Linked DNA regions of Stegostoma tigrinum. The protein of the gene in region 3 interacts with the protein of the main gene of each other region in a pairwise test. Links are inferred from orthologs where the notes say so. Each region holds a gene or a part of one and is shown on either strand. Other genes may lie near its edges.

Evidence for each region.
Region 1: the proteins of diamine acetyltransferase 1-like (region 3) and hoxb9a interact in binary tests that used the Homo sapiens proteins (3 or more experiments, as listed by UniProt). The two-hybrid records come from large-scale screens. The link is inferred for Stegostoma tigrinum from reciprocal best matches to the Homo sapiens genes SAT1 and HOXB9.
Region 2: the proteins of diamine acetyltransferase 1-like (region 3) and translational activator of cytochrome c oxidase 1-like interact in binary tests that used the Homo sapiens proteins (3 or more experiments, as listed by UniProt). The two-hybrid records come from large-scale screens. The link is inferred for Stegostoma tigrinum from reciprocal best matches to the Homo sapiens genes SAT1 and TACO1.
Region 4: the proteins of diamine acetyltransferase 1-like (region 3) and tcf25 interact in binary tests that used the Homo sapiens proteins (3 or more experiments, as listed by UniProt). The two-hybrid records come from large-scale screens. The link is inferred for Stegostoma tigrinum from reciprocal best matches to the Homo sapiens genes SAT1 and TCF25.

What each region holds. Positions count from the first base shown.
Region 1 is NC_081384.1:4,143,928-4,150,761, forward strand, and holds the start of hoxb9a (homeobox protein Hox-B9a), read right to left. Parts: upstream 3,016-6,834; 5' UTR 1,520-3,015; coding exon 1,003-1,519; intron 279-1,002; coding exon 37-278; 3' UTR 1-36. UniProt on the Homo sapiens protein: Sequence-specific transcription factor which is part of a developmental regulatory system that provides cells with specific positional identities on the anterior-posterior axis.
Region 2 is NC_081384.1:38,590,164-38,598,177, reverse strand, and holds the start of translational activator of cytochrome c oxidase 1-like, read right to left. Parts: upstream 3,025-8,014; 5' UTR 2,969-3,024; intron 678-2,968; 5' UTR 657-677; coding exon 350-656; intron 1-349. UniProt on the Homo sapiens protein: Acts as a translational activator of mitochondrially-encoded cytochrome c oxidase 1.
Region 3 is NC_081365.1:77,559,766-77,566,969, forward strand, and holds the start of diamine acetyltransferase 1-like, read right to left. Parts: upstream 3,010-7,204; 5' UTR 2,614-3,009; coding exon 2,548-2,613; intron 1-2,547. UniProt on the Homo sapiens protein: Enzyme which catalyzes the acetylation of polyamines. Substrate specificity: norspermidine = spermidine >> spermine > N(1)-acetylspermine. This highly regulated enzyme allows a fine attenuation of the intracellular concentration of polyamines.
Region 4 is NC_081369.1:38,570,038-38,577,018, forward strand, and holds the start of tcf25 (transcription factor 25), read right to left. Parts: upstream 3,021-6,981; 5' UTR 2,890-3,020; coding exon 2,707-2,889; intron 1-2,706. UniProt on the Homo sapiens protein: Component of the ribosome quality control complex (RQC), a ribosome-associated complex that mediates ubiquitination and extraction of incompletely synthesized nascent chains for proteasomal degradation.

The DNA.
Region 1 (6,834 bases), on a different chromosome or scaffold from region 3:
ACCGGCTACGCGCTAAAGTTAAATTTAAACAGCTAGTCACTCGAACTCTTTTACATGCTCCTTACTGAGTCTTTTCATCTTCATTCTCCTGTTTTGAAACCAGATTTTGACTTGTCTTTCAGTCAGGTTAAGAAGACGCGCTACTTCGTGCCTCCGGTCCCTGGTGAGGTACATGTTGAACAGAAATTCTTTTTCCAACTCCAGGGTCTGATATTTGCTGTAAGGACATCTTTTCTTCCTCGTTGAGCGGGCATGTAACCAGTTTGCAGCAGGATTGTCTAAAGATGAGTGAAGGGGAAAATAATCAGATGAGAATAAGAATTATATTGCAATCATAATTTCTAAATGATATTTCTAACATTTTACTGCTTGTGGGAGTCTTCTTCCACAGTTATATCGGTCTAGCTAAGTATTAAGAAAGTGCGTGTCTGTGTGTGTGTGTGTGTGTGTGTGTGTGTGTGTGTGTGTGTGTGTCTGGGTCTTGTGTTACTCCTAAGCGTTTGTCCATTAGTATAGTGTATTACTGAACTGGAAACTGTTGGGCACTCTCGAATTGCGAAGACTTCATTTTGCTGTTGATTACCACGTTTACAATTCAGAAATAAACTCGGAGAGCCGACTCCGCTACATGAAATATTTCCTTTCTCCCTTCTCCGCAGCTTCACATAAAGATGGTGCGGCGCACATTTCATGGTTCTCAGGAGCTTATTTCGAACGGAAAATAACAGCAGTGAATACTTTTTATTTATTCCTCCATTTATGCAATGTCTCGTAGAAGATAATCTGGCGAAACCGCCATTAAGGATATGCAGGTGTTTACATAAAACAGAACGGAGGCGTATAATATACAAGCGACATAAGACCAGTTAAATCCTTGAGGCTAAACTGGGAACAAACTACCTTTTAATTGGAACCTTACTACAATAGCGTGTTTTTGTTTTGTACGAGGTTTGGAAACTATTTTCATTGAGATAAGTTAAGTAGATCTCTCGAAAAACTTACTCTGCTCTGATGTCTCTTTGTCTGCCTTCTCTTCACATATACTGTCTTCGTAGCACTGCGCTTTCCCGGAGCAAATGGTTTCGCTCTCCAAATATTCGCCATGTAGTTTTTGAAGCGCTGCTGGTAGGGTTTCGCCGCCATGTGTTGCGGGTACTTCTGCTTTCAATGAATCGTGACCGCTGGAAGGCATTCCGGGTCCGGACACAGCCCTGGGGGTCGGGTCCAACCAGGACCGCATGTACCTGCTATCAGGCTGAATGGGGTGAGACTGGACGTAAGGATGGTGCAAAGTGGGAACATTGGCAGAAGGCTGGCCGTACACGGGGGCCCAAGGGGCGCCGAACACCGGAGATTTCGCCTGAAAATTACAAGCAGGAAATTCGGGGTGCTCGGGGACTCGCGGCTGCCTGGAGACTAAGTATTGCCCCGAAGCAAACTTTGTTGCAGGCGATCCCTCGCTTTCATGACTTATAAGTGAATCGACAAAGTAGTTGCCAATAGCACCAGAGATCGACATTGTCAAACATCATACACTTCGATTCATTGAGAAATTATATGTAAGACTAGAAATTGTTCTCTCAACTTCTCCACTAACAAAGTAGAGTTAGCTAATATGTTGTGGGCTATCTGCGAAACGATTGGTTAAAGTTTTCATGAGGCCGACAAAGCGACAATAAAACGTAAATCAATCCGCAATGGGGGTTAAACAATTAGCATCCCCCTCCTCCCCCCGTATTAAATACATTTAGAAGTAAAAGGGGGATTGAACAATAAACAGTACCACGGATAAATACATACTGAGCAACTATTCCTCAGAATGCAAAACCTGGTTAACTTTAACGGACATTTTTTAAAGGAACTATTTTGTTTCCTAATCAATCTTACGTCGTGCGATAAATTCCCACACCAGGTCTCATCATCGCCAGTTTTTGTATTACTGTTATTATTTTAAATCCGTAACATAAGAAGTGTTAAATGCAATCAACGCAGCAGATTATTCTTGCGATATTTGTACTTGATGGGTACGAGAAGCTGGTGAGGTTGGTGGTTCGGAACGCTTAGATTGGAGTTGACAATATTAGCCCGAGGTTCTGGTGCCATTGAATGAAATATGCGTGCGTGCTATGTGTGACAACTTTAGATCTTATAGAGAAGATATTGCAATGAAAATACACGAAAATGTGAGAAGATGGTCCGTTACTTTCTCGTAAAATTTTAATTCAGTCGAAAGACTGCAATTGAGGAAGATTAGAACGAATTGGATTTAAAGTAGTTTCTGATTCTGGTTTCTGCATTTCCAGCCAACAAAGTCTTTTTTGTTCCCATTGTGATGTTTTAAAGCTCACAGTCATACGAAAGCCACGGCTACGTATTATCCTGCTTTGTTTATGCTGTGTGATTTCAAATTCCTCGCAAGTCTATTTTGGAACAAAGGAAAAAGAAAAGCGAACCCTCCAATAATCATGAACTTTAGTGAACAAGTGAATAATTATTGTGTATTAAAATATACACTCATTGTTAGAGGTTAACTATAAATGTAAACTAAGTTTTCTCTTATGTTTTCCGTCAGTTCCAGGAAGAAAAGAGCCAAGAAAGATTTTGTATCATCAGCTAAGGACAAAGCGTGAATTAATGTTCGAAAACTAAGTACAATTAGTGAAATGCGAATACTCAGACAAAATTCGGTGGGTAATGAAAAATTTACACAGGTTGAAAATTATTCGGTTTTTAAATTGCAAATCACTTTGAAAGAAATGGAACTTATTAATGGAAACTATTAATACTTTACTTTGCATCAGCGGAATAAAATAGAATCGATGTTTGTAATCGACCTCTAAATGAATGCGTTAAATGCAAAGAGTTGTATTTGAAGAGATTTGATAATTGATGAAGGACGAACAATGGCGAAGGCAATGAAGAACATTACAAATTGGGGGAATATTTATATAAACATTTTAAATTCTAATCCTGTCAATGGTTTAGTTTATAAATTGACGAAACAAAATTTATTGTTCAGATGAAGAAAAATAATTAAAAATGAATAAACAAACATTTATTTAGGCTCGGAAATAATTCGACGAATATTTGAATTGTAATTTTTGGACGGTTATGCTGGCAGGCAGGTGACCGTCGGCAGGGCTGCTAATTTACAACAGTGGCTTCTATTAAGATAGCATTAACGAGTATAGAGGTATAGAACAAACTATCGGCTGAGGTGAACATCTGAGTATTCGTTAATGTTATTATTGGAGATCCACTATATCTTAAATACCAACTGAATTCTCCATGATAAAAAAAACCTTGCAAGAGCCTGGATAAGGTCCAAACTACTGTACCGGGAATATTTTTGAGAATATTCAATTATTAGATAAGATCAGTGAAACGGTTCACCTATGTACTTATATTTGCTGTTAGCATCATGATCATAAATATCTCACAAGATTCACAAAATTCTTTAGCATTTTGATTCTGTTTGCTCTTTCTGGCGATGCGTTGAAGTAAAAGTAACCCTCTTGTCCACTCGCCTGCCGATAAAGTTTATTTTGCCGCCATGATGAATTCGAAAGTTTAGATGAAAACATTGGGGGAAATTAATTTAACCTTATTCTACATTCAAGGCTGCGTACTTGAAAACGTATTCTCAAGCTGCTAAGATGCTGACGGATACATCTTCATTTAACATCAATGAATATTGTCCAGTCTAAACAGTCAAATAGGGCGATTGTTTCAACGGCAGGCATCCCTTTGAAAGGCCGGCGTGATTTGCAGATCGCATCTGAATATTTGCATCAAATAGATTTTTCAGTCATTTGTAAAACGGGATATGTTAGCGATTATTGCTCATGGAGCCAAATATGCAAGTTTTGATATATAATTATAGACATCCAAAAATGCCACAAATCAATATTTTCTAAACAGCTTTATATGTATGAACAGTAAAAAAAATTATTTAATGCGCGAAATAAGTCGACATCTATTTACTCAAAGTAAACACAGTTATTGGATTTTATATGTATCTTTTCAAGCTGAAACAATCACTCTGCCAGTGTATTGCTGTCTACATGTTAAAATATACTTCAGAGACACTCGCCTGTCTTTTAGTTCGGAACTTTTAATTGACAATATGATACTAGCATTGTCGTTCTTCTTCCCAGCTGGAAGTTATAGCAGGGATATGCCGGGTTTTCCCGTTTGCATCTAAAACTTATCTTAAATGCACAAATCCCAGTTTAAACAATTTTCTTAATAGCATAAAGGTTTCATTATCAATGAAAATATGCACTCCATTTTTTTCGCAACAAAGCAGTTTTGGGTATTCTTCAGTGAAATGGGAAATATGCTTTTAATTGTTACATCAATACAGGAAAACAGATGCAAAGTGTGACATCGACAAGGACAGGGAACTGCGTTTCAACAGTAATGTATAAAACAATCAACAATCATTTCTAATATTTCTAAGACCTTTGGTTTTATGAGAGTTTTAATAATATATTTAAATGGTTTTAGAAGTAGGAAATCGTTGGTCTTTCTTGCAAATTTCCAGTTTAAGTAATATACTTTTAGAAGCTTTAAAAAATACATTATCAATCCTTGCCAAGCAAAATTGGGCACAGCCTCCAAACACAGCAAGTAGCATGATGAAAAGGAAAAGATCCATCGTTCAGGGTCGCTGCAGGTCATTTGGTGGCAACACCACATTTATATTTTAAAGAAGATGTTTAATTTAAGTCTAACGATTAAAGAAGCGAGCCATTTTGCTCTTGTCTCAGCACGCTGTGCAATCCAATCGAACTTCAGTCATTTCAACGCAGTTATTACTTTCACATTAGTAAGTTTGTTCGTTGCACTCTCACCTTTTGCTCAATTCATAATGCATTGGAAATACGCAGAGAGACAAGAAAACAAAGAATCTTCACATTAAATCGTGAAGATGCTGAATGTATGGCAATCAAATAAAGTTTATGATGGAACACTCCTCGGCACTAAATTGCTGTTAAAAGGGGCTCCTTTTTCCTTAACCGAGATGACATTATACAATTCACTCGGTGGGCAAAACAGGGGCAGTATATGTATTCCTACAAGTACTTTAAACAGCATCCTACACTTAATTCGCAGGTTCCAAACTGACAGCAAAGGCGAACGAATTGAAGATTATCAGCGGAAACTCGCTCAACTTATACTTTGATATGTAAACGAACAAAATAACAAATCGATTAGGGCAAGACTGAAGCTTCTTCGTCCACAGGCAATAATCTCACTGGAAGCTTGCCTAATGTCTTTCTGCAACTGGATACCTCCAGTTTAAAAGCCTATGAGTTATATTCAGATGTATCTTACCGGAGTATTATTGACCCAGACTATATTTTTGATATACAGCAATATTGTGATAGACTGAACAATCGTCGTTAATGATAAAGTGGTAACAACATTATCTTTTATGACTAGACATATTATGCTAAATTTAAAAAAACAACACAACTACTTCACACTACAAGACTTGATAACATAACATTGGAGGACTGAAGAGCGCTCTCAACTGGGAATGGAAGAGAGTTATCGTCCCTCGATCATAACACAAATGTATAAAAGCTGTTACACTGAATTAATATGATACAGAAATAAATCGTCTTGTATATCGACAGATTTTCAGCTTTCCAAGGGCCCATTGTCCATTTGTCTGCCTTACAAGAAAACATGTAATAACGTCTTTTATGAATAGAGACGGTGCAGATATTACTGGGAACACACCTTACACAACTGCAAGTTCATCCATCTGTTCTGTTGATTTAGATATCGATTAATTTATTCAACGTATAATCGATTAATCCATCTGACTGCAGATCCTTCTGACGAATAGAAATTCGGATCAAACTAATGATGCTTGCAATGACAAGGCAATTCCAAAATTGTGCATTTATCAGTAGAAAAATGCACACAATTTGCATTGTTTAAAACTTTACCATGCCATTCATACACAAATACTACATTTTGGAATATAGCGATGTATCGGATAAATAGCAATAGGATAGATAAATGTGTCCGGTAATCTGCAATAACAGTTCGCACTATATATCATTGTTTATAGCTTCGTCACGTTTAGTGTTTTGCCACAGGAACCATTTATTCGGGTATCAGAACAGCAGAGATTCCTCTTTTTAACTAAGTTCCAAAAGTTTGCGATGACAATAACTGGAGTAATTCAGGCAGTTTCTTGTCACTGCGATCAAACAGAAGCCCAACAACATGAAACTACCTAAGTCACACAGCAGTTCCATCTCACATGCGCCATAGACTGGACTTAATGAATGAAGTTCAATTCGAACACTAAAATAAAGATTGACATTGTGAGATACGTTTTTACTAAGCATTATTCTTTAAAATATAATGACATTAATAAAATTCTCACATATTTCTAAGAAAGGAAATGAAGGCGGGATATTTACAAACCTTAGTTTCTAGCGGCTCTAAACTACATCTATCCTTCTTTAATCAATCCAAAAGGACACATTGTACCATTTCGGGCTCGCTGGGCATTCGAATACACATAAAAGAAACCGCAGCGATCAGTCTCACTATACTGCATCATTATCATGGCAAAAGAGCAACGTTTGCACTTTTTAACATAATCAGCAGACCATTGTAACAAGAAACTTCAGGAAAATGAAACATTTAATTTTCCACCAAGTCAATTTGTTTATCAACAGCCTTACAGGGGGATCTGGAAGAATACGCCAGTGAAACATGACAACAAGGCCCTACCATTTTCAGCATGTTTTCCAAAGTCTTGAAAACAAACGTGGATAACACTTAGCGAGTTTCCACTTGTAGTTT
Region 2 (8,014 bases), on a different chromosome or scaffold from region 3:
GGCATTGCACAAATACACCTGGGCCACTGAATACAAGGTTTTAAAATTGAACTCCACAAGTTTAATATTTGTAGCAAGAATGCTGACGATCTAATGACAAGGTTGTGTGGGATGAATGTGGGGTTGGGGTGGTATTTGGATAATCCAGATCTCTCTACATTGTAGTAAAGCACCGGTCACCTTTGACAGACTTTCCAGTGATGTCACTCTTCTCAATGAGCTTACAACTGCAAATAAGTCACCGCATCAATTGTACTTCAGCCACCAACAGGCAGGGAAAAGAAAACTAATAAACAAATGCAACTGGAATAGAAACAAACATGGGCTGTGGTTATTTTGTCCATATTACCTCTCACTGCAAAGCGAAGCATTATCGACAACTTAGCAAACATCCGACTCCTCTCAGCATCCTTTGGCCCTTTGACGTGCTTCACCTTTGACCATTTGTTGTGCCCTGCGGAATTAGCTGCAGACGTGTGGATCTCAGCACGTTGTGAAAAGGAACAATACTGGCCACTTGCCTGGTTGGACGTGGGAGTAGGCACTGATAATAAAACTCTGGGCTTTGGCAGCAACTTGGCTGACCACCGCAGTGAGAATAGGAGACATCTTCTGTTCCATGAGCAAACACTTTGAAATGCAGCAACTGTAGCCATAGCTGAGGTCCTGTCAATCACCTGTAAAAGTGAAGGTGAAACTGCTATACTGAACACAGTAAAATGCTTACTATCCCGAAAAAACCATAAATATGTACAATTTATTGCTCTCATGCAGGTCACTCAACCCAACTGTTGATATTTCTGCTCTAAAACAAGACTCTTCCACCTTCCTCACCTAACCCCATCAATGTATCTTCCTTCATGTGCATTGATACTAAGCACCTGAGCCACACCTTGCCAGTGATTTCCACATTCTCACCAATTTTTGAACAAAGTTAATATATCTAATTAAAAAAAATCCTATGTTACCCTCCAGGCTTTTTTTTTGGACTCCCTACAAGTGGAAATATTTTATCTGCACCTACCCAATCATATCTTTAATTAATTTAAATTCCTTAACTTCGCGTGACTTATCCTCCTTTTCGGTCTCTTTTGTCTTTCCTGTTAGGTGTAGCCCACATTATGGCATCTGCCTTGTAATTTTGTTTTGCACCTTCAACGGCCCCTCCACATGCTTTCTGAAGACTAGGACTCTGCACACTTCTCTATGATCCAACTAAGTTTAACATAATATTCTTGTTTTCAATTGTTCTTCTAAGAAGGCATCTCGGCATTTTTATAGACCTTCAACTGGTGTTATCACAAATCAGTGATTGTAGCAAAGTGGACAGCAGCAGAAAAATTTTGGCATAGATGGGTGATGGATGACGCAAAGTGCACACAGGCTACAGTGGGTATGTGAGGATATTTGTATCCCAGACTGTTTTGATCATCTCAACTCATTTTGTGCGGTACTTTCTGAATTCTCACCCTTGATTTTAAATCCCTCATTATCTCCAATCTCTCTCAGTCCCACAACCCTCCAGGATATCTGCACTCAACCAATTCCAGAAATCTGTACATTAACAATTGTAAATGCTCAACCATCAATAAACATTTTCAAATTTGTTTTGGCCACAAATTCTGAAATACCACTCCACACACATATCTGCTCCCTCCTGCCTCTCCTTTCCTTAAGGCCTACCTCTTTGACCATACATTTAGCCACCTGGCTTAGTATCTGCTATGCAACTCAGTGTCATTGTTGCTGTGGGGTGCCTTTTTAACATCCCAGATTTTAAACATTCCACCATTGGCAAGGCCGCAAATCATTTGAATCCATCTGCAACTTTGAAACTAAACCTATCTCTCCACATTTTTTTTATGATACTCAATTGAAATATATTTTTAACCAAACCCTTCAGCCCCCACCCTAATAACTCCTAATACTGTACAATTCAAATTTTATTGGACAACACTTCTGTGAAGTATCTTTGGACTTTAACTACAGAAGGACACAATATAAATCAAGTTTCTGTTGCTGCAGTATCAGAGCTGTTGTTTATCAGTTGAGGTGCTAAACTGAGGCCGCAGCAGCCCTATTTCAGAACACTGGGTGTTCTCCCTGGTGCCTTGACCAATAGTTCACCTCGAAGCACAGTACCCAACCAGATGAAATGAGGAACACTTCAACTGTGGTAGGGTACTGTGGGCAATACGAAGGGGTTGGCAGTGAGACTGATGGTGCTAGTGAAAGGAGGAGGAGGTCCTGAGTAAGAATCCACTCAATGAAGAAAATCAAGTGTCATTCAAACCAGCCATCCTCACATTAGGTGTTCTCTGACAGTTAAAAGTGGCCTATAAAGGAGCATGGTTCAGCTCTGCAAATCACATAGGTGCATTCCAGGCAGTGTCCCTGTTTGTTGGCAATCAAATTGTGATAAAACTGGACAAATGGCATCCTGGAAAGATGAAAAAAGGGAAGAATGTAAGAAATTCTGGCACGGTGGTTAGCATTGCGGTCTCACAGCGCTTGGGGCCCAGGTTCAATTCCAGCCTCGGGCGACTGTCGGTGTGGAGTTTGCACATTCTCCCCACGTGTGTGGGGGTTTCCTCCACGTGCTCTGGTTTCCTCCCACAGTACAAAGATGTGCAGGCTAGGTGGATTGGTCATGCTAAATTGCCCCATAGTGCCCAGGGACGTTTAGGTTAGGTGGGGGAGACATGGGAAATATAGAGGAATGGGTTTGGGTGGGATGCTCTTCGGAGGGCAGTATGGACTTGTCGGGCCGAATGGCCTGTTTCCATACCGTTGGAATCTTATGATATGGTAAGTACACTCCTCTTAAACACTACAAATGGTTGGCCATCCCCCTCCCTTCCTCCAATGGGTAATCTAGACAGATATTACACGGTTTGTGGGGACCTGCTGTATCCGCAGAGGCTATGATACCCTCCGGTCTCACCACCCTCCCCTCTCAGGCCCTCACCCTCTCTTTTTCGGCCAACCTGCAGGCCGCTCGGGTCCTGGACGGCACGCGTGCGCATTCGCGCAGTACCGGCCGGAAACAGCGCGTGCGCAGTACCGCCCAGCTGGATGGCTCTGCCAGTGATTATTCGGTGAGCACTGTGATCCCTTCCGACTGTGATCTCTCTCACTCACTGATCACTGTGATCCCTTCCGACTGTGATCTCTCTCACTCACTGATCACTGTGATCCCCTCCGACTGTGATCTCTCTCACTCACTGATCACTGTGATCCCCTCCGACTGTGATCTCTCTCACTCACTGATCACTGTGATCCCCTCTGACTGTGATCTCCCCCTGAATGTGATCTCCCACTGACTGTAATCCAGTCTCTTGCTGGTCACTGTGATCCCCCCTCTGACTATGACCTGCATCTCTCACTGATCATTATGACCTCCTCTGACTGTTATCCCTTTCTCTCACTGATCACTATGATCCCCCTCTGACTGTAATCCCCTCCCTCACTCTGAGCCCGTTCTGACGTGATCCCCTCTCTCACTGGTCACTGTGATCACTCTCTGACAGTAATCCCCTCTCTCAATGACCACTGAGATACCCCTCTGACTATGATCCCCTTTGTGATACCCGTGTCACTGAGTACTGTCATCCCTCTCTGACTGTGATCTGCCTTGCTCGCTATACACCATGATCACCTTCTGATTGTGAACTCCTCTCTCACTGATCATGGAGGTCTGCCCTGACCGTGATATCCCTCTTACTGTGATCCACTCTCTCACTGATCACTGTCATCTCCCTCTGATTGTGATCCCTCTCTGACTGGTCATCTGCCCCTGACTGTGATCCCCCTCTGATATAGTAACCCCCTCTCTCAATGTGATCCCCCCCTTGACTGTGATCCCCCTGTCACTGATCTCCCTCTTAACTGTAATCCCCTTCTCTCACTGATTATTGTGGTGCCCCTGACTGTAATTCCCTCTCTCACTGAGATCCCCATCTGACTGTAGTTGCGCCTCTCACTGATCACTGTGATCACCCTCTGACTGTAATCCCCTTTCTCAATGATCACTGTGATCTCCCTTTGACTGTAATTCCCTCTCTGACTGATCACCGTGATCCTCTCTGACTGTGATCCCCTTTGACTGTAATCCTCTCTCTCACTGATGACTGTGATCCCCCTCTGACCGTAATCCCGTCTCTCACTGATCACGTAATTCCCCTCTGACTGTGATCTGCCTCTCTTACTGATCACTTGATTCCCCTCTGACTGTGATCTGCCTCTCTCACTGATCACCGTTATCTTCCACGTGACTGTGGCCCCCCTGACTGTGATCTCCCTCTCTGACTAATCTAGGATCCCCTCGACTGTAATCCCCTCTCTCATTGATCACCATTATCTCCCCATGACTGTGATCTCCTCTCCCACTGATCACTGTAATCTTCCTCTAACTGTGATCTCACTTATGATCTCACACTTTGAATGCTCACTGATCTGCCCCACACACTGATCTTACTGTGATCGGTGATCCTCTTAGCGATCTCCCTCTTCTGGTGATCTCTTTTATTCTGTGAGATCTCTGATAGTGATCACTGATTTCTCACACTCTGTGATTGCCCTCTCACTATGATCTCTTTCATCCTATGTGTTCTCTGACACAAGGACCACAGGTCAATGAGAGTTTACACTGAGTGCCCACCATAAAGGACCACAAGGTTGCCCTCCATCTACCTCATTTTCTATTTCAGGTTCTGGGACCCCAGTGAGCGGACCCAGTGTTCTGACTGCCTCTGTACATTGTGAAATGTGATTACCCTGCATTACAGATGTTTCTGGTTACAGACGTTAAAGTAAAAGTGGGATGGATTCAAAAATGAGTTTGTAAGAGATTTTGTGCAAGTATAAAGTTGATGAGGGTCGAGCTGTGGATGTGGTGTATATGGACTTCAGTAAGGCATTTGATAAGGATCCCCATGGTAGGCTCATTCAGAAGGTCAGGAGGAATGGGATACAGGGGAACCTAGCTGTCTGGATACAGAATTGGCTGGCCAACAGAAGACAGCGAGTGGTAGTAGAAGGAAAATATTCTGCCTGGAAGTCAGTGGTGAGTGGTGTTCCACAGGGCTCTGTCCTTGGGCCTCTACTGTTTGTAATTTTTATTAATGACTTGGATGAGGGGATTGAAGGATGGGTCAGCAAGTTTGCAGATGACACGAAGGTTGGAGGTGTCGTTGACAGTATAGAGGGCTGTTGTAGGCTGCAGCGGGACATTGGCAGGATGCAGAGATGGGCTGAGAGGTGGCAGATGGAGTTCAACCTGGATAAATGCGAGGTGATGCATTTTGGAAGGTCGAATTTGAAAGCTGAGTACAAGATTAAGGATAGGATTCTTGGCAGTGTGGAGGAACAGAGGAATCTTGTTGTGCAGATACATAGATCCCTTAAAATGGCCACCCAAGTGGACAGGGTTGTTAAGAAAGCATATGGTGTTTTGGCTTTCATTAACAGGGGGATTGAGTTTAAGAGTCGTGAGATCTTGTTGCAGCTCTATAAAACTTTGGTTAGACCGCACTTGGAATACTGCGTCCAGTTCTGGTCGCCCTATTATAGGAAACATGTGGATGCTTTGAAGAGGGTTCAGAGGAGGTTTACCAGGATGCTGCCTGGACTGGAGGGCTTATCTTATGAAGAGAGGTTGACTCAGCTCGGACTCTTTTCATTGGAGAAAAGGAGGAGGAGAGGGGACCTAATTGAGGTATACAAGATAATGAGAGGCATAGATAGAGTTGATAGCCAGAGACTATTTCCCAGGGCAGAAAAGGCTAACACGAGGGGTCATAGTTTTAAGCTGGTTGGAGGAAAGTATAGAGGGGATGTCAGAGGCGGGTTCTTTACACAGAGTTGTGAGAGCATGGAATGCGTTGCCAGCAGTTGTGGAAGCAAGGTCATTGGGGTCATTTAAGAGACTGCTGGACATGCATATGGTCACAGAAATTTGAGGGTGCATACATGAGGATCAATGGTCGGCACAACATCGTGGGCTGAAGAGCCTGTTCTGTGCTGTACTGTTCTATGTTCTATGTTCTATAAAGATGTCTTTGACGGAACCCTAGAGGAAATGAAAGGAATAGGAATTAAACTTTGGTTGAAGTAGGGTGGGGGGTTTATCCAAGCAGTCTGAAGGCACATTCAGTACCATACACCACCTGGCCTAATGTAGAGGGTGAGAATTGCTATAGGTGGTGAACCTGGGAGCACTGGAACCAGTAACTACCAATGAATGAGCCACTCCAATCATCCCAGCCTTAAAAACAGATGGTGTGACAAGGATATTTGGTAACTTCTAGGTTACAGTCATCTGGAAAAGAGAGTTGTGAAAATGGAGGCTTGCTGGTAGGTGAAGCAAGCACTGAAAAGGTTGGATGTGTTGAATAATTTCTCCCCACTGCAGTTGGGGTGCCACCTCACTTTATGGGGTTGGCCCTGTACTGTCACATCTTTCCAAAGAGAGATGGAAGGTCCATTGCATTCACATCAAGATTTAATGAAGATGGAGAAGTATACTCAAGTGCAAAAGGAAGAGTTGAGCATTGTGCTTGATGTTGAAAGTTCTCCCATTTTCTTTATGCTGCTGACAGACCACAGGCTGTGAAGCTCCTTTTTTGACATCTATACAGGAATACCATCAATGGTGGCAGCACACCTGTCAATATGGGCATTAGTTTTGACAGCCTACTCCTATCATGAGATACTGACAGTTGAAAAAGCACAGAAATGCAGATGCTTTGTCAAGATTAACATGACTGCAAAATAAGGATGTTCCTGACTGAAACCTGAAAATTATGTACTTTTCCTAGGAAGACAGCATATTGGTATCAGAAAGTCGGCTGCGGAATGGTGCTCAAAATGACTATGTCTTGAACCTTGTAGTGGACTTAGTCCTGAGAGGAAGGACTCGTCATAGAGACTGCCCCAAATTATGCCGTGACCTGTCCAAGAGGTGGGAGTTGTTCATATCAGTTAATTCAATGTGGGGAAGGAGATTTGTTGCCCCTCCCCTGTTAAGAGGAAAGGTGCACTAAGGGCACCCTGGCATGGTGTGAACGAAAGAAATAGCCAAGAGCTACTTTTGATGGATGAATGTGGAGGAAGTGGGATCATATTAATCCTGTGCATTAGTAAGGAAAGCAGAGCCATCGTTGCCCCTTCATCCCATGGGAGGTGGCCTCAGTCAAACTATTTGCATGGTGTGGTAACTCCAAACAAGTTGTGAGTGACACCGATCCAGTCTGTGGCACAAGGGTTCAAGAATTACCTGGAAAAGCAGAGTCAGACATGAGATTGGCTCGATATCACCCTGTGACAAACAACCAGATGGAGAAATTTATACAAACCTTGAAGCAGGTCTTGGAGTGTTCGCAAGTACGGCAACTTAAGTTCCTCAGCACATATGGGAATACACCATAGTCAACGACCCAGTGCTTGTTGATGTCCTTAAATGTTTAACCACCAGCTGAGAATCACGTTTGACTTACTGCAACCAGAAGAGACCAGAGGAAGTAAATTGAAACCAGGAAGGACAGATGGTCAGAAGGGTGGGAACGTCAAGTTTGAGGGTACACCAAAGAGGAAAAATTCTGGCCCAAAATTACATATTGGGCAAAATGGATCCCAGCAGTGGTGGTGGCTCAGTTAGGACTTGCCATGGAGCGCAGTGGAGGCCGGGACGTTAAATGTCTTCAAGGCGGAGATTGATAAATTCTTGATCTCACAAGGAATTAAGGGCTACAGGGAGAGTGCGGATAAGTGGAGTTGAAATGCACATCTGTCATGATTAAATGGCAGAGTGGACTCGATGGGCCGAATGGCCTTACTTCCACTCCTACGTCTTAAGGTCTTATGGACAGTTGTCATATAGGGTGCACAGTGTTGAACGAGTCTGGAGGAGACAGTGAACCAGCCGGTAGCTGCACCTCACCAACAGGGGACAGAATACCGAGCTGGTCCAGATGGGACCAGTGATGTCGACTGAGCCAGAGTTGGTTGTATTGTG
Region 3 (7,204 bases):
TTGTCAGAATGGGAACCTGTAAGAAATGGAGCATCACAGTGATCAGTGCTAGGGCTACATTTATTTCCAATATATATCAATGACTTGATGACTGAAGTGAATGCTCCATCACCAAGTTTGCAGATGACACAAAATTCTTGTGTCAGAATTTGAAGGCAAGTAGTGATGAAGACACAGAATCTACAGAAGGACAAAGCAGGCTGAATAGGTACAATATAATGGAGGAAAATGTGAGGGTTTGCACTTTCACAGAAAGAACAAGATAGCTGAATATTACCTAAATGGGGAAAGACTGCAGATAGCTGCAGCACAGAAGAACTGGGCAACCATCAAACATGGATCACAAAAAGTTTACACCTGTAGGTAATAGGAAAGGGAAATGGACTGCCAGCCTTTACTTCAAAGGGAATGGAATATGAAAACAGGGAAGCCATGCTAAAGACACCACATAGTTAGACACTCCTGCAGTATAGTGAATAGTTTGGCCCATTATCCAAGAAAAGATATACTAGCAATGGAAACACTTCAGAGACTGTACACTGGGTGGATTCCAATTATTTTCTTATGAGAAGAGGTTAAGCAGGTTGGGCCCATACTCATGAGTTTAGAACAATGAGTGGGCACTTTATTGACAAACTAGATTCTGAGATGACTTGATAAAAGTAGTTGAAGAGACATTGTTGCACCACTCAGCCAGCCCATGGGAGAGTCTAGGACCAGACGGCATGATCTCAAAAAGGTATTATCTAATGAAAACTGACACAGAAGACTTTTATTTTCCCCTCTGAAGCATAGTGAATCTGTGAAATTCTTTGCCAGAGGAGACTGGATCATTAAGTATATTCAAGGCTGAGACAGATATTTACAATCAGCAAGGGTATCAAGGGTTATGGGGAAAAGGCAGGCAAGTGGAGTTGATGATGATCAGCCATGTTCTCATTGGATGGCAGAGGAGACTCGATGGGTCTACCTGGTTAAAGCGAACCGATGATAATGGGAACTGCAGATGCTGGAGAATTATAAAATGTGAGGTTGGATGAACACAGCAGGCCCAGCAGCATCCCAGGAGCACAAAAGCTGACGTTTCGGGCCTAGACCCTTCATCAGAGAGGGGGATGGGGTGAGGGTTCTGGAATAAATAGGGAGAGAGGGGGAGGCGGACCGAAGATGGAGAGAAAAGAAGATAGGTGGAGAGAGTATAGGTGGGGAGGTAGGGAGGGGATAGGTCAGTCCAGGGAAGACAGACAGGTCAAGGAGGTGGGATGAGGTTAGTAGGTAGGAGATGGAGGTGCGGCTTGGGGTGGGAGAAAGGGATGGGTGAGAGGAAGAACAGGTTAGGGAGTCAGAGACGGGTTGGACTGGTTGTGTGGTGCAGTGGGGGGAGGGGATGAACTGGGCTGGTTTTGGGATGCGGTGGGGGAAGGGGAGATTTTGAAGCTGGTGAAGTCCACATTGATACCATTGGGCTGCAGGGTTCCCAAGCGGAATATGAGTTGCTGTTCCTGCAACCTTTGGGTGGCATCATTGTGGCACTGCAGGAGACCCATGATGGACATGCCATCTAATGGGGACCGCTTTGCAGAACACCTCCGCTCAGTTCGCAACAAACAACTGCAACTCCCAGTCGCAAACCATTTCCACTCCCCCTCCCATTCCTCAGATGACATGGGCCTCCTGCAGTGCCACAATGATGCCACCCGAAGGTTGCAGGAAGAGCAATTCATATTCCGCTTGGGAACCCTGCAGCCCAATGGTATCAATGTGGACTTCACCAGCTTCAAAATCTCCCCCTCCCCACTGCATCCCAAAACCAGCCCAGTTCGTCCCCTCCCCCCACTGCACCACACAACCAGCCCAGCTCTTCCCCTCCACCCACTGCATCCCAAAACCAGTCCAACCTGTCTCTGCCTCCCTAACCTGTTCTTCCTCTCACCCATCCCCTTCTCCCACCCCAAGCCGCACCTCCATCTCCTACCTACTAACCTCATCCCACCTCCTTGACCTGTCCGTCTTCCCTGGACTGACCTATCCCCTCCCTACCTCCCCACCTATACTCTCTCCACCTATCTTCTTTTCTCTCCATCTTCGGTCCACCTCCCCGTCTCTCCCTATTTATTCCAGAACCCCCTCCCCATCCCTCTCTGATGAAGGGTCCAGGCCCGAAACGTCAGCTTTTATGCTCCTGAGATGCTGCTGGGCCTGCTGTGTTCATCCAGCCTCACATTTTGTTAAAGTGAACCGAGACCACATGAGGGAGGGCTTATACTCAGTGTGCCCTTAGGATCCACCCCGTGGAAGGGGAAGCTGGAGGCAAGTGACCTCATCCCACCTCCAAACTCCCGGGGGAGCTGGAGGCGGATTCATTCCATGTTTTCAAAAGAGCTTCAGACCCTTCCGAGCTGCAGAAAAGGACCGCGGGGTCACAGGGGAAAGCATGGACGGGGGGGGGGGGGGACGACGACTGCTGCTTAGAGATCGAACACAGACCGGACGGGCCGAGAGGCCGCCCCGTGGATTGCAATCGTTCCGATCAACACAGGAGCTCACCCTGATGAGGCGGAGGATGTCGCCGCAGTCCCGGGGTGTAGCTAGTCGGACAGTGTAACTGGTCATTTTCGCCTCTTATTTTTCTTGCTCTTTCTCTGGAGACCCCAGTACTTGTACAGTAAGACCAGGTTTTTCTTCATCCGCGTCCCGCGAATCAGCCTGGGACCTTTCGTGGTGCCGGGTATCAGTGTCAGCTTGATTCCCCTTTAGACACTGCGTTCCCGATGTGAACTCCGCTTTGCGTCCCCGCTACCGCTGTTTATAAACAGCCTGCCGCAGGCTGGGCTCCTCCCAACAAGTGTCCGCCTCCTGACCCAGAACTGACTTTCAAGGCAAACTTCAAAGGCGAAGCTGCAATCGGCCAGTCCGCAAAAGAAAAGATACCTGTCTAGGATGTAAGCGGCTCATGCAGCATTCGACCTTTCTGAGGCACAACATTATGGATTCAATGTCCCATTTCACAGGAGTGCTGCGGTACCGGAGGTGGATGGCTTCAGAAAGATTTCTGCTCCAATCTACAGCCAGGGCTGCTCTCTCTCTCTACTGTGGTGGATCGAACCCTTTTCTGAGCCCTCGGGAAGAATGGAAACATAGTCCCACTCAGCGAAGACAGGTGTCGCCGGTCAAAGTCTTCCAATATGGATAACATTACCATCTTCTGCTCAGATCCAGTTTCGGTGTGTAGATTGATATGCATCTGTGACCATGTCAAATGGCCTTGCTCGCCAAAATAGGTTATGGCCAGAGCAAGGCAGTGCTGTCTTGAGAACTGGACTGACATGTTCTCTTGGTCATCAAGTCAGATTATCTGAAGGTGCTGGGGATACAGCTCAGACAGCCTGAGTGGGTGACACAGAAAAATGAGCATGTGGAAGCAACACTCCCTCTCGATTATGCATCAGAGCTTTCTCAGGTTCTTCCAGTGTTGTTGTATATTCTGCAGGTCTGGCAAATTCCTCACTCCATTACAGTGGTGATCACATGAGCCATCTTCTGCTTTATCTGCAGGTTAAAAACTGGAACATGATGTAGAAATCTCTAAACAAAGGAAGAAAGAACCGACCAAACAACTGTCTATCTGATGACTAGCTCTCTGTGTGGCTGCATCAAGCTGTGCATATACCTTCAGTACACAAGCAATGTGCTTAGGTCCTACCTTTCCCCAGTGTTACGGAGGATGGCGCTATCCACATTGTCATAGAATGTTGCATCTACTTGGGACTGTGTTGTACCATCTGCCCCTCATGGTAAAGTTCATGCACGTAAAGATCTTTGACCAGTCCAACAGGCAGTCATCTGCATCTAATGCGCTAGATGTCCTCCAGGAAAAGAAGATGATGGCAGGTCCTGTTGGATGGTTCCTTGATATTACATTTACAAACAAGATCAAGATGTAGCTTGGCTATTGGTGAGAAATGTTCTCCCTGTCAGATTTTTCCTGCATGCCTTAAATCTTATGCAATTTGGGTGAATCAAATTGGGAAAGATAGCCTGCAAATGGGTTCATAGCATGTATCCGGGCAATTTCTTCGAGCAGAATGTGCTAGTCCAAACAGGTGTGGATTGGACTATTCAACATCTGATAATGTTCAATGAGACAAATAATTAATAAAACCCAAGCAAACTGCGGATGCTGTAAATCAGAAATAAAAACATAAATTGCTGGTAAAGCTTAGCAGGTCTGGCAACATCTGTGGACAGAAATCAGTTAACGTTTCAGGTCCAGTAACCCTTCCTCAGAAATAATTAATAACCTCACAGTAAAGGGGCCTCTAGGTGATAGCAATCATACATGATTGAATTTTCCATTAGGCTTAAATGTGAGAAGTAGGAGTCAAAGTCTAACGTTTTAAACTTAAATAAAGGTGATTATGAGAAAATGAAGGCAGTTGGCTAAAATGAACTCAACATTGGATTAAAAGGTAGAAATTGTGTAATAGACTTCTAAGGAGATAATTATTAACTCTCAACAGATATTTATGGCATTGAAAAAGAAAAGTTTTTTGAGAAGGATGTGTTATCCTTGGCTGCGTAAGGATGTTAAATTGGAAGAAACATTGTATGGTTGTGTGAATGGAATATAAAAATGGGGTAGCTTTACACCACCCATACAGGGCCCATGATTATACCACCCCTGGAATGCTGAATAAAGTTTTGATCTGTTTATTTTCGAATCAACCTGTTCAGAGATATTACTACACAGCTCTGGAGCAGGTGGGACTTGAACCTAGGCCTCCTAGATCAAAGATAAGGACACTACCACTGCCACACAAGATGCCTAAAGTTATGGTCTCATGACTTGAAAAAGGAGATTTTCATTCACAGAGAAAATTAACTTGAATCATTCCTGGGCTGCAGAGTTTAACTAATGAATGAAATGTCGATTGAGCAGGTTGGGCGTATGCCAACTGGCATTCAAAAACAAGAAGTGACCTTCTCGAAATACATAGGGTATAAATAATATACAATATAATGTAAAATTTAAAAGAAAATGAATTTGGATGTTTGGAAGAAGGGTCACTGGATCCAAAACGTGACCTCTGATTTCTCTCCATAGGTGCTGCCAGACTGCTGAGATTTTCAAACAATTTCTGTTTTTGTTTCAGATTTCCAGCACCCGTGGTTCTTTTGGTTTTTTCAATAGTTGTTACTGTGTTGAGCTCTGCTGAACACACAGAACTGGTCTTGATTGAAATCCAGTCAAAAGCAAAGCAGCCCTGAACAAAGATCTAAGGTATCGATGTGTCCAGCATTCTCCCCAACTGTTTGAAGAAGGTGACTTTGTGGATACAATTTACGTTTGTTTGTTTGTTTATTTATTTATTTATTTATGGATGTTGCAGGTTCCAGGGTTTAGATCTTTCATTAAGATCAGGGAAGGTGGTAAAAGAGGGGGAGGTGTGGCTTTGTTAGTCAAGGACATTATAACGGGGGCTGAAAAAACTTTTGACGAGGACTCGTCTACTGAGGTGGTATGGGCTGAGGGCGGAAACAGGAGAGGAGAGGTCACGCTGCTGGGAGTTTTTTATAGGCCTCCGCAAAGTTCCGGGGATGTGGAGGAGAGGATTGGCAAAACGATTCTGGGCAGGACTGAAAGGAACAGGGTGGTCATTATGGGAGACTTTAACTTCCCCAACATTGACTGGAAATGCTATAACTCTAGTACATCGGATGGATCAGTTTTTGTCCAACGTGTGCAGGACAGTTTCCTGACAGTGTGTCGAAGGGCCGACAAGTGGGGACAGTCAAAATGTGGAGCTGGTTTAAGAACAGATATTGCGTGTCCTTGATAGGTATGCCCCTGTCAGGCAGGGACGAAGCGATAAGGGAACCATGGTTTACTAAAGAAATTCTATCTCTTATTAAGCAGAAGAAGGAGGCTTATGTGACGATGAGACGAGATGGTTCAGATGGGGCATTGAAGAGTTACAGATTAGCTAGGAACGATTTAAAGAGAGAGTTAAGAACAAGAAGGGGACATGAGCAGACAATAGTAGGTAGAATAAAGGAAAACCCTAAAGCTTTCTAAACATATGTGAGGAATAAGAAAATGACTAGGGTAGAAATAGGGCCAGTCAAAGTCAAAAGTGGGAAGTTGTGTGTGGACCCTGTGGAGATCGGAGAGGTGCTAAAGGAATATTTCTCATCTGTTTTCACTCAGGAGAATATTGTAGAGGAGATGACTGAGTTACGGGCTACTAGAATTGAAAGGATTGAGGTTAGTAAGGAGGAGGTGTTATCAATTCTAGAAGGTGTGAAGGCAGATAAATCCACTGGGCCAGATGGGATTTTTCCAAGCATTCTCTGGGAAGCTAGGGAGGAGGTAGCGGAGCCTTTGGCCTTGATCTTTGAGTCCTCATTGTCTACAGGTTTAGTACCAGAGGACTGGAGGATTGCAAATGTTGTGCCCTTGATCAAGAAGAGCAGTAGAGATGAACCAGGTAATTATAGACCTGTGACCCTTACGTTGGTTGTAGGGAAAGCTTTGGAAAGGATTATAAGAGATAGGGTTCATAATCATCTAGCAAGCAACAATTTGTTTGGAGATAGTCAGCATGGATTCGTCAAGGGCAGGTCATGTCTCACAAACCTCACTGAATTTCTTGAAAAGGTAACCAAGCATGTGGATGAAGGTAGGGCAGTTGACGTGGTGTACATGGACTTCAGTAAAGCCTTTGATAAGGTTCCACATGGTAGGCTATTGGAGAAAATACAGAGGCACATGATTGAGGGAGATTTAGCAGTTTGGATTAGAAACTGGCTTTCTGTAGGCAGGCAACGAGTGGTGGTTGATGGAAAATATTCAGCCTGGAGTCCGGTCACTAGTGGTGTGCCTCAAGGATCTGTTTTGGGATCACTGCTGTTTGTCATCGTTATAAATGACTTGGACGCAGGCATAGGTGGATGGGTTAGTAAGTTTGCGTATGACACTAAAGTCGGTGGAGTGGTGGACAATGTGAAAGAATGTTGCTGGTTGCTGGGACACTTGGATAAACTGCAGAATTGGGCCGAAAGGTGGCAAATGGAGTTTAATACGGATAAATGTGAGGTGATTCACTTTGGGAGGATTAATAGGAAGGCAGAATACTAGGTCAACAGAAAGATTCTTGGTAGTTTGGATGTGCAGAGGGATCTTGGTGTCCATGTACATAGATCC
Region 4 (6,981 bases), on a different chromosome or scaffold from region 3:
CCCACCCTCCCTCCCTCTCCCCGCCACACCCACCCTCCCACCCTCCCTCCCTCTCCCCGCCACACCCACCCTCCCACCCTCCCTCCCCCCGCCACACCCACCCTCCCACCCTCCCTCCCTCTCCCCGCCACACCCACCCTCCCACCCTCCCTCCCTCTCCCCGCCACACCCACCCTCCCACCCTCCCTCTCCCCGCCACACCCACCCTCCCACCCTCCCTCCCTCTCCCCGCCACACCCACCCTCCCACCCTCCCTCTCCCCGCCACACCCACCCTCCCACCCTCTCCCCGCCACACCCACCCTCCCACCCTCTCCCCGCCACACCCACCCTCCCTCCCTCCCTCTCCCCGCCACACCCACCCTCCCTCCCTCTCCCCGCCACACCCACCCTCCCTCCCTCTCCCCGCCACACCCACCCTCCCTCCCTCTCCCCGCCACACCCACCCTCCCACCCTCTCCCCGCCACACCCACCCTCCCACCCTCTCCCCGCCACACCCACCCTCCCTCCCTCTCCCCGCCACACCCACCCTCCCTCCCTCTCCCCGCCACACCCACCCTCCCACCCTCCCTCCCTCTCCCCGCCACACCCACCCTCCCTCTCCCCGCCACACCCACCCTCCCACCCTCTCCCCGCCACACCCACCCTCCCACCCTCCCTCCCTCTCCCCGCCACACCCACCCTCCCTCCCTCTCCCCGCCACACCCACCCTCCCACCCTCCCTCTCCCCGCCACACCCACCCTCCCTCTCCCCGCCACACCCACCCTCCCACCCTCCCTCTCCCCGCCACACCCACCCTCCCACCCTCCCTCTCCCCGCCACACCCACCCTCCCTCTCCCCGCCACACCCACCCTCCCTCTCCCCCGCCACACCCACCCTCCCACCCTCCCTCTCCCCGCCACACCCACCCTCCCACCCTCCCTCTCCCCGCCACACCCACCCTCCCACCCTCCCTCTCCCCGCCACACCCACCCTCCCACCCTCCCTCCCTCTCCCCGCCACACCCACCCTCCCTCCCTCTCCCCGCCACACCCACCCTCCCTCCCTCTCCCCGCCACACCCACCCTCCCTCCCTCTCCCCGCCACACCCACCCTCCCACCCTCCCTCCCTCTCCCCGCCACACCCACCCTCCCTCCCTCTCCCCGCCACACCCACCCTCCCACCCTCCCTCCCTCTCCCCGCCACACCCACCCTCCCTCCCTCTCCCCGCCACTCCCACCCTCCCTCCCTCTCCCCGCCACTCCCACCCTCCCACCCTCCCTCCCTCCCTCTCCCCGCCACACCCACCCTCCCACCCTCCCTCCCTCTCCCCGCCACACCCACCCTCCCTCCCTCTCCCCGCCACACCCACCCTCCCACCCTCCCTCTCCCCGCCACACCCACCCTCCCACCCTCCCTCCCTCTCCCCGCCACACCCACCCTCCCACCCTCCCTCCCTCCCTCTCCCCGCCACACCCACCCTCCCACCCTCCCTCCCTCCCTCTCCCCGCCACACCCACCCTCCCACCCTCCCTCTCCCCGCCACACCCACCCTCCCTCCCTCTCCCCGCCACACCCACCCTCCCTCCCTCCCTCCCTCTCCCCGCCACACCCACCCTCCCTCCCTCCCTCTCCCCGCCACACCCACCCACCCACCCTCCCTCCCTCCCTCCCTCTCCCCGCCACACCCACCCACCCACCCTCCCTCCCTCCCTCCCTCTCCCCGCCACACCCACCCTCCCTCCCTCCCTCTCCCCGCCACACCCACCCACCCACCCTCCCTCCCTCCCTCTCCCCGCCACACCCACCCACCCACCCTCCCTCCCTCTCCCCGCCACACCCACCCACCCTCCCTCCCTCCCTCCCTCTCCCCGCCACACCCACCCACCCTCCCTCCCTCCCTCCCTCTCCCCGCCACACCCACCCACCCTCCCTCCCTCCCTCTCCCCGCCACACCCACCCACCCTCCCTCCCTCCCTCCCTCTCCCCGCCACACCCACCCACCCTCCCTCCCTCCCTCCCTCCCTCTCCCCGCCACACCCACCCTCCCTCCCTCCCTCCCTCCCTCCCTCTCCCCGCCACACCCACCCTCCCTCCCTCCCTCCCTCCCTCTCCCCGCCACACCCACCCTCCCTCCCTCCCTCCCTCCCTCCCTCTCCCCGCCACACCCACCCTCCCTCCCTCCCTCCCTCCCTCCCTCCCTCTCCCCGCCACACCCACCCTCCCTCCCTCCCTCCCTCCCTCTCCCCGCCACACCCACCCACCCTCCCTCCCTCCCTCCCTCTCCCCGCCACACCCACCCTCCCTCCCTCCCTCCCTCCCTCTCCCCGCCACACCCACCCTCCCTCCCTCCCTCCCTCCCTCCCCCCGCCACACCCTCCCTCCCTCCCTCCCTCCCTCCCTCCCTCTCCCCGCCACACCCACCCTCCCTCCCTCCCTCCCTCCCTCTCCCCGCCACACCCACCCTCCCTCCCTCCCTCCCTCCCTCCCCCCGCCACACCCTCCCTCCCTCCCTCCCTCCCTCTCCCCGCCACACCCTCCCTCCCTCCCTCCCTCCCTCCCTCTCCCCGCCACACCCTCCCTCCCTCCCTCCCTCTCCCCGCCACACCCTCCCTCCCTCCCTCCCTCCCTCCCTCTCCCCGCCACACCCACCCTCCCTCCCTCTCCCCCCCGCCCCAACCCACCACCCCACCCCACCCCAGCCCAGCCAGAGCGGGCCCTCACCAGTTGGGGCAGGTTTCCAGCTGCCGCTTTATTTCCCCTGTTCCTCCGTCGTTTTCGAGACGTGGCGGGTTCCAGCGGCCTCTCTTCTTCTTCCTCCGCCTCCTCCTCCTCCTGGTCGGCAAAGTGATTGAGCGGTTCTTGTTTCCGCTCCCCGCGCAGTTTCCGGAGGCTCCTGGAAGACATGGTGACTCCTGCCTGCCGCGCCTTCCTCCCAACACCAGGCCCAAGCTCAAGCCTGAGCCCCGCGCGCTCTCGCTCTCCCTGTCAGCTCCCGGCTCGGAACCACCAGTGCGCCTGCGCCGCTCTCACCGGAACCCCGCCCGCCAACTTCCCTGGGACCGGAAGTGGAGGGAGAAAGGGCCGGAAGACCGTGAATAATGGGAACTGCCGATGCTGGAGAATCCAAGATAACAAGGTGTGAAGCTGGATGAACACAGCAGGCCAAGCAGCATCTCAGGAGCACAAAAGCTAAGGTTTCGGGCCTAGACCCTTCATTAGAAAAGATTTTCTACTCTATGGGCTTGAAGACTGGCTGTTTCCGCTGACACTCAATGGAGAAGACTAAGTCTGAGAAATTAACGTAGGATGTAAACGGAAGACGATGGAAACTCAGTTCATCCAGCAGCATCTGTGGAGAAACGAAAAGAGTTAACTGTTTGGGAGTCGCCTTTCCCCTCAATGAACCAATCACAGAATCCCTAAGTGTGGAAGAAGGCCATTCAGTCCATCGAGGCTGCACCAACTTTCTGAAGAATGTCCAACCCAGACCTGCCCTCCAGCTCTGACCTCTTCACCTTACATTTACCATGGTCAGTCCAGCCAACCTGCACACTTTTGGGCTGTGGGAGAAAACCACATAGACACGGGAAGAACGTACAAGCTCCGCATGAGATCCAGAGGGTGGGATTGAACCCAGGTTCCCAGTGCTGTGAGACAACAGCAGTACCAATCTCTCAGCCTGACCCCACTAAAGCTGCCTCTTCTTAAATCGCGATATCACTTTCTGTTTTTATCAGTAGATATTGAGCACTCTGAAGAAGAGTCAAAATGGTCTTGAATTTCTGTTTTTATCAGTAGATATTGAGCACTCTGAAGAAGAGTCAAAATGGTCTTGAAATGTCAAGTCACTTTCACAAATTGACCCTTGTATTCTTGTGTTTGTTTTGGAAAGGCACTGGAAGTGAGTCCAGAGAAAACAAAGATCAGAAAATCATGCACCTTCTCATTCCACCATCTTCCTCCACACTAAATGCAGGAGAGATTGCCATTGCCAGCATGTCTACACCAGTCAGATGTTGGCCACAGATTTGACCTCCAAGGCAGAAACTGTTGCCTTCCAAGATTGTACAGGATGTTGGTGAGGCCTGATCTGGAGTTCTGTGTGTAGTTCTGGTTGGCCTGCTATAGGGAGGAAATTATTTAATTGGAAAAAGTTTAGAAAAGATCTATCAGGATGTTGTTAGGAACAGAGGGTTTGAAGTATAAAAATTGGCTGGGACTTCTTTTTCTCTGGAGCAAAGGAGGTTCAAGAGTGACCTTATAGACGTTCATAAAATCTGAGGAGCACAGATAAGTGAATAGCAAGGGTCTTTTCTGTAAGGTGAGCAAGTTCAAAACTAGGGGGCATATTTTATGTATTTTTAGTGTCTATTTTGTTTGACTGTGCCACTTCCAATGCAGGAGCGATTTGAACTAGGGTTTTCTGGATCAGAAGGAGCCAAACTACCACTGCGATACAAAAGCCTTTTTAAGAATAAATATTTATGACGAGCCTATCGTGCTCCTGGCTCAGAGAATCTACAGCTACACCATATGATTACCTTCATGTGAGAGTTGTACCCTTGGTTTTATACAGTATCCCCTACCATAATGTATCATCTCGCACTTTGTGTTGAGCTTCATCTGTCACCTATCTGCCCACTCCATCCAACTGTGTATGTTCTTCTGCAATTCTACACAGTACTAATTGTTCACAATACTTTCTAATCGTTTTGTCATCTGCAAATTTTGAAGTTTTGTCCTGTACACCGTGGTTAATATCATTCATATTTACCAGGAAAAATAAGGGTCCTAATGCTGACTCCTGGAGAACTCAATGCAAACCTTCAGTTGCCTAAAAGTTATTCAGTAACCATTACCATCGGTTTGCTGTTGTCACTCAGCCAATTGTAATGGATCGGACCGGATCCCCCAAAGTATATTATGGGGATAATCTAGACTCACTCTTCTATACTTTTTTAAAAGACAAATGTAAGCCCCTGTTCCAATATAATTCAATTGGCCCACCACCACGCTTTTAATCAAAACACTTCTATTCTTGCAGCACAGTTAAAATGCAACAAAAAGAAGGATTTGCATAACTTTACTCTATTGAAATATTTCACAAAGATAATGTATTATTTAACCACTAATTAGCAACTATGGTTCCAATAAAGGCAGCATATACACACCATTGGCAAAGGCAATTCAGCAGAACAGTTATTATTCTCTCACGCTGTCTCTCTCCACTCCAGTAGAAAGAAACGATCAGGCCCGTTTTGATTTTTAAGAAGAAACCTCTCTGTCTAAGACTTCACCGCAGCAGCAGAGAATTCAAGCTTTCAGCTCCAACAGCCAGTAGAACCACCAGCTAATTCAAAGCAAAATCAAAGCCCTTTGGGGGTTTGTGTGAGCCTGACCCCATTCACTCATGAGTGTTTTGTCTTAAACATAACACCAAGGAGAACTCAAAACTGTTTACCAATTGCCTGTCTGAAGGAGACATTTTTGTACCACTATGACAACACCCCTCTGCAGAAGAAACAGGACAGAACACATTTCTTAAAGGCACAATATTGTCACAAAATTTTGTTTCCATGTTGCTGCTGTTCCTTTTATTCCACTAGATCTAACTTTGCTCACAGTGTTTGTTGTGTGGCACTGTAACAAATGCTTTCAAAATGTCGATCTATAACATAGGAACAGCTTTGCCATTGTGAACCTTTCTGTTACCTCTTCAGAAAATGTTCGCAAGTTAATTAAACATGAGTTTTCCTTGGGAAATCCAAGCTGGCTTTCCTTAACTGACCTGCACATCTCCAAGTGTCTCCTAATTTTATCCCAAGCTATTGTTTTCATAAGGTTTCCCAATCACCAAAGTTAAACTGACTGGTCTGCAATTACATTGTTTTCTCTTCCATTAAAAGCTCTTTGTAAGTCTCCTGTGTCAAACATTATTCCTTAACTAACAAACAGACAATTAGTGGGATTCAATGAGGTGACATATGAAAATTTTTTAAAAGTTCTTCTACTCCTTATATTTCTAGGTAGGAAGACCATACCAGCAAACAAGGGTGTAGTTCTACTTCTGAAGAAGGGTCAAGACCCGAAACATCAGCTTTCCTGCTCCTCTGATGCTGCTTGGCTTGCTGTGTTCATCCAGCTCTACACCTTGTTATTTCTGTAGATAATAAAATGTGAGGCTGGATGAACACAGCAGGCCAAGCAGCATCTCAGGAGCACAAAAGCTGACGTTTCGGGCCTAGACCCTTCATCAGAGAGGGGGATGGGGGGAGGGAACTGGAATAAATAGGGAGAGAGGGGGAGGCGGACCGAAGATGGAGAGCAAAGAAGATAGGTGGAGAGGGTGTAGGTGGGGAGGTAGGGAGGGGATAGGTCAGTCCAGGGAAGACGGACAGGTCAAGGAGGTGGGATGAGGTTAGTAGGTAGCTGGGGGTGCGGCTGGGGGTGGGAAGAAGGGATGGGTGAGAGGAAGAACCGGTTAGGGAGGCAGAGACAGGTTGGACTGGTTTTGGGATGCAGTGGGTGGGGGGGAAGAGCTGGGCTGGTTGTGTGGTGCAGTGGGGGGAGGGGATGAACTGGGCTGGTTTAGGGATGCAGTGGGGGAAGGGGAGATTTTGAAACTGGTGAAGTCCACATTGATACCATATGGCTGCAGGGTTCCCAGGCGGAATATGAGTTGCTGTTCCTGCAACCTTCGGGTGGCATCATTGTGGCAGTGCAGGAGGCCCATGATGGACATGTCATCAAGAGAATGGGAGGGGGAGTGGAAATGGTTTGCGACTGGGAGGTGCAGTTGTGTGTTGCGAACTGAGCGGAGGTGTTCTGCAAAGCGGTCCCCAAGCCTCCGCTTGGTTTCCCCAATGTAGAGAAAGCCGCACCGGGTACAGTGGATGCAGTATACCACATTGGCAGATGTGCAGGTGAACCTCTGCTTAATGTGGAATGTCATCTTGGGGCCTGGGATGGGGGTGAGGGAGGAGGTGTGGGGACAAG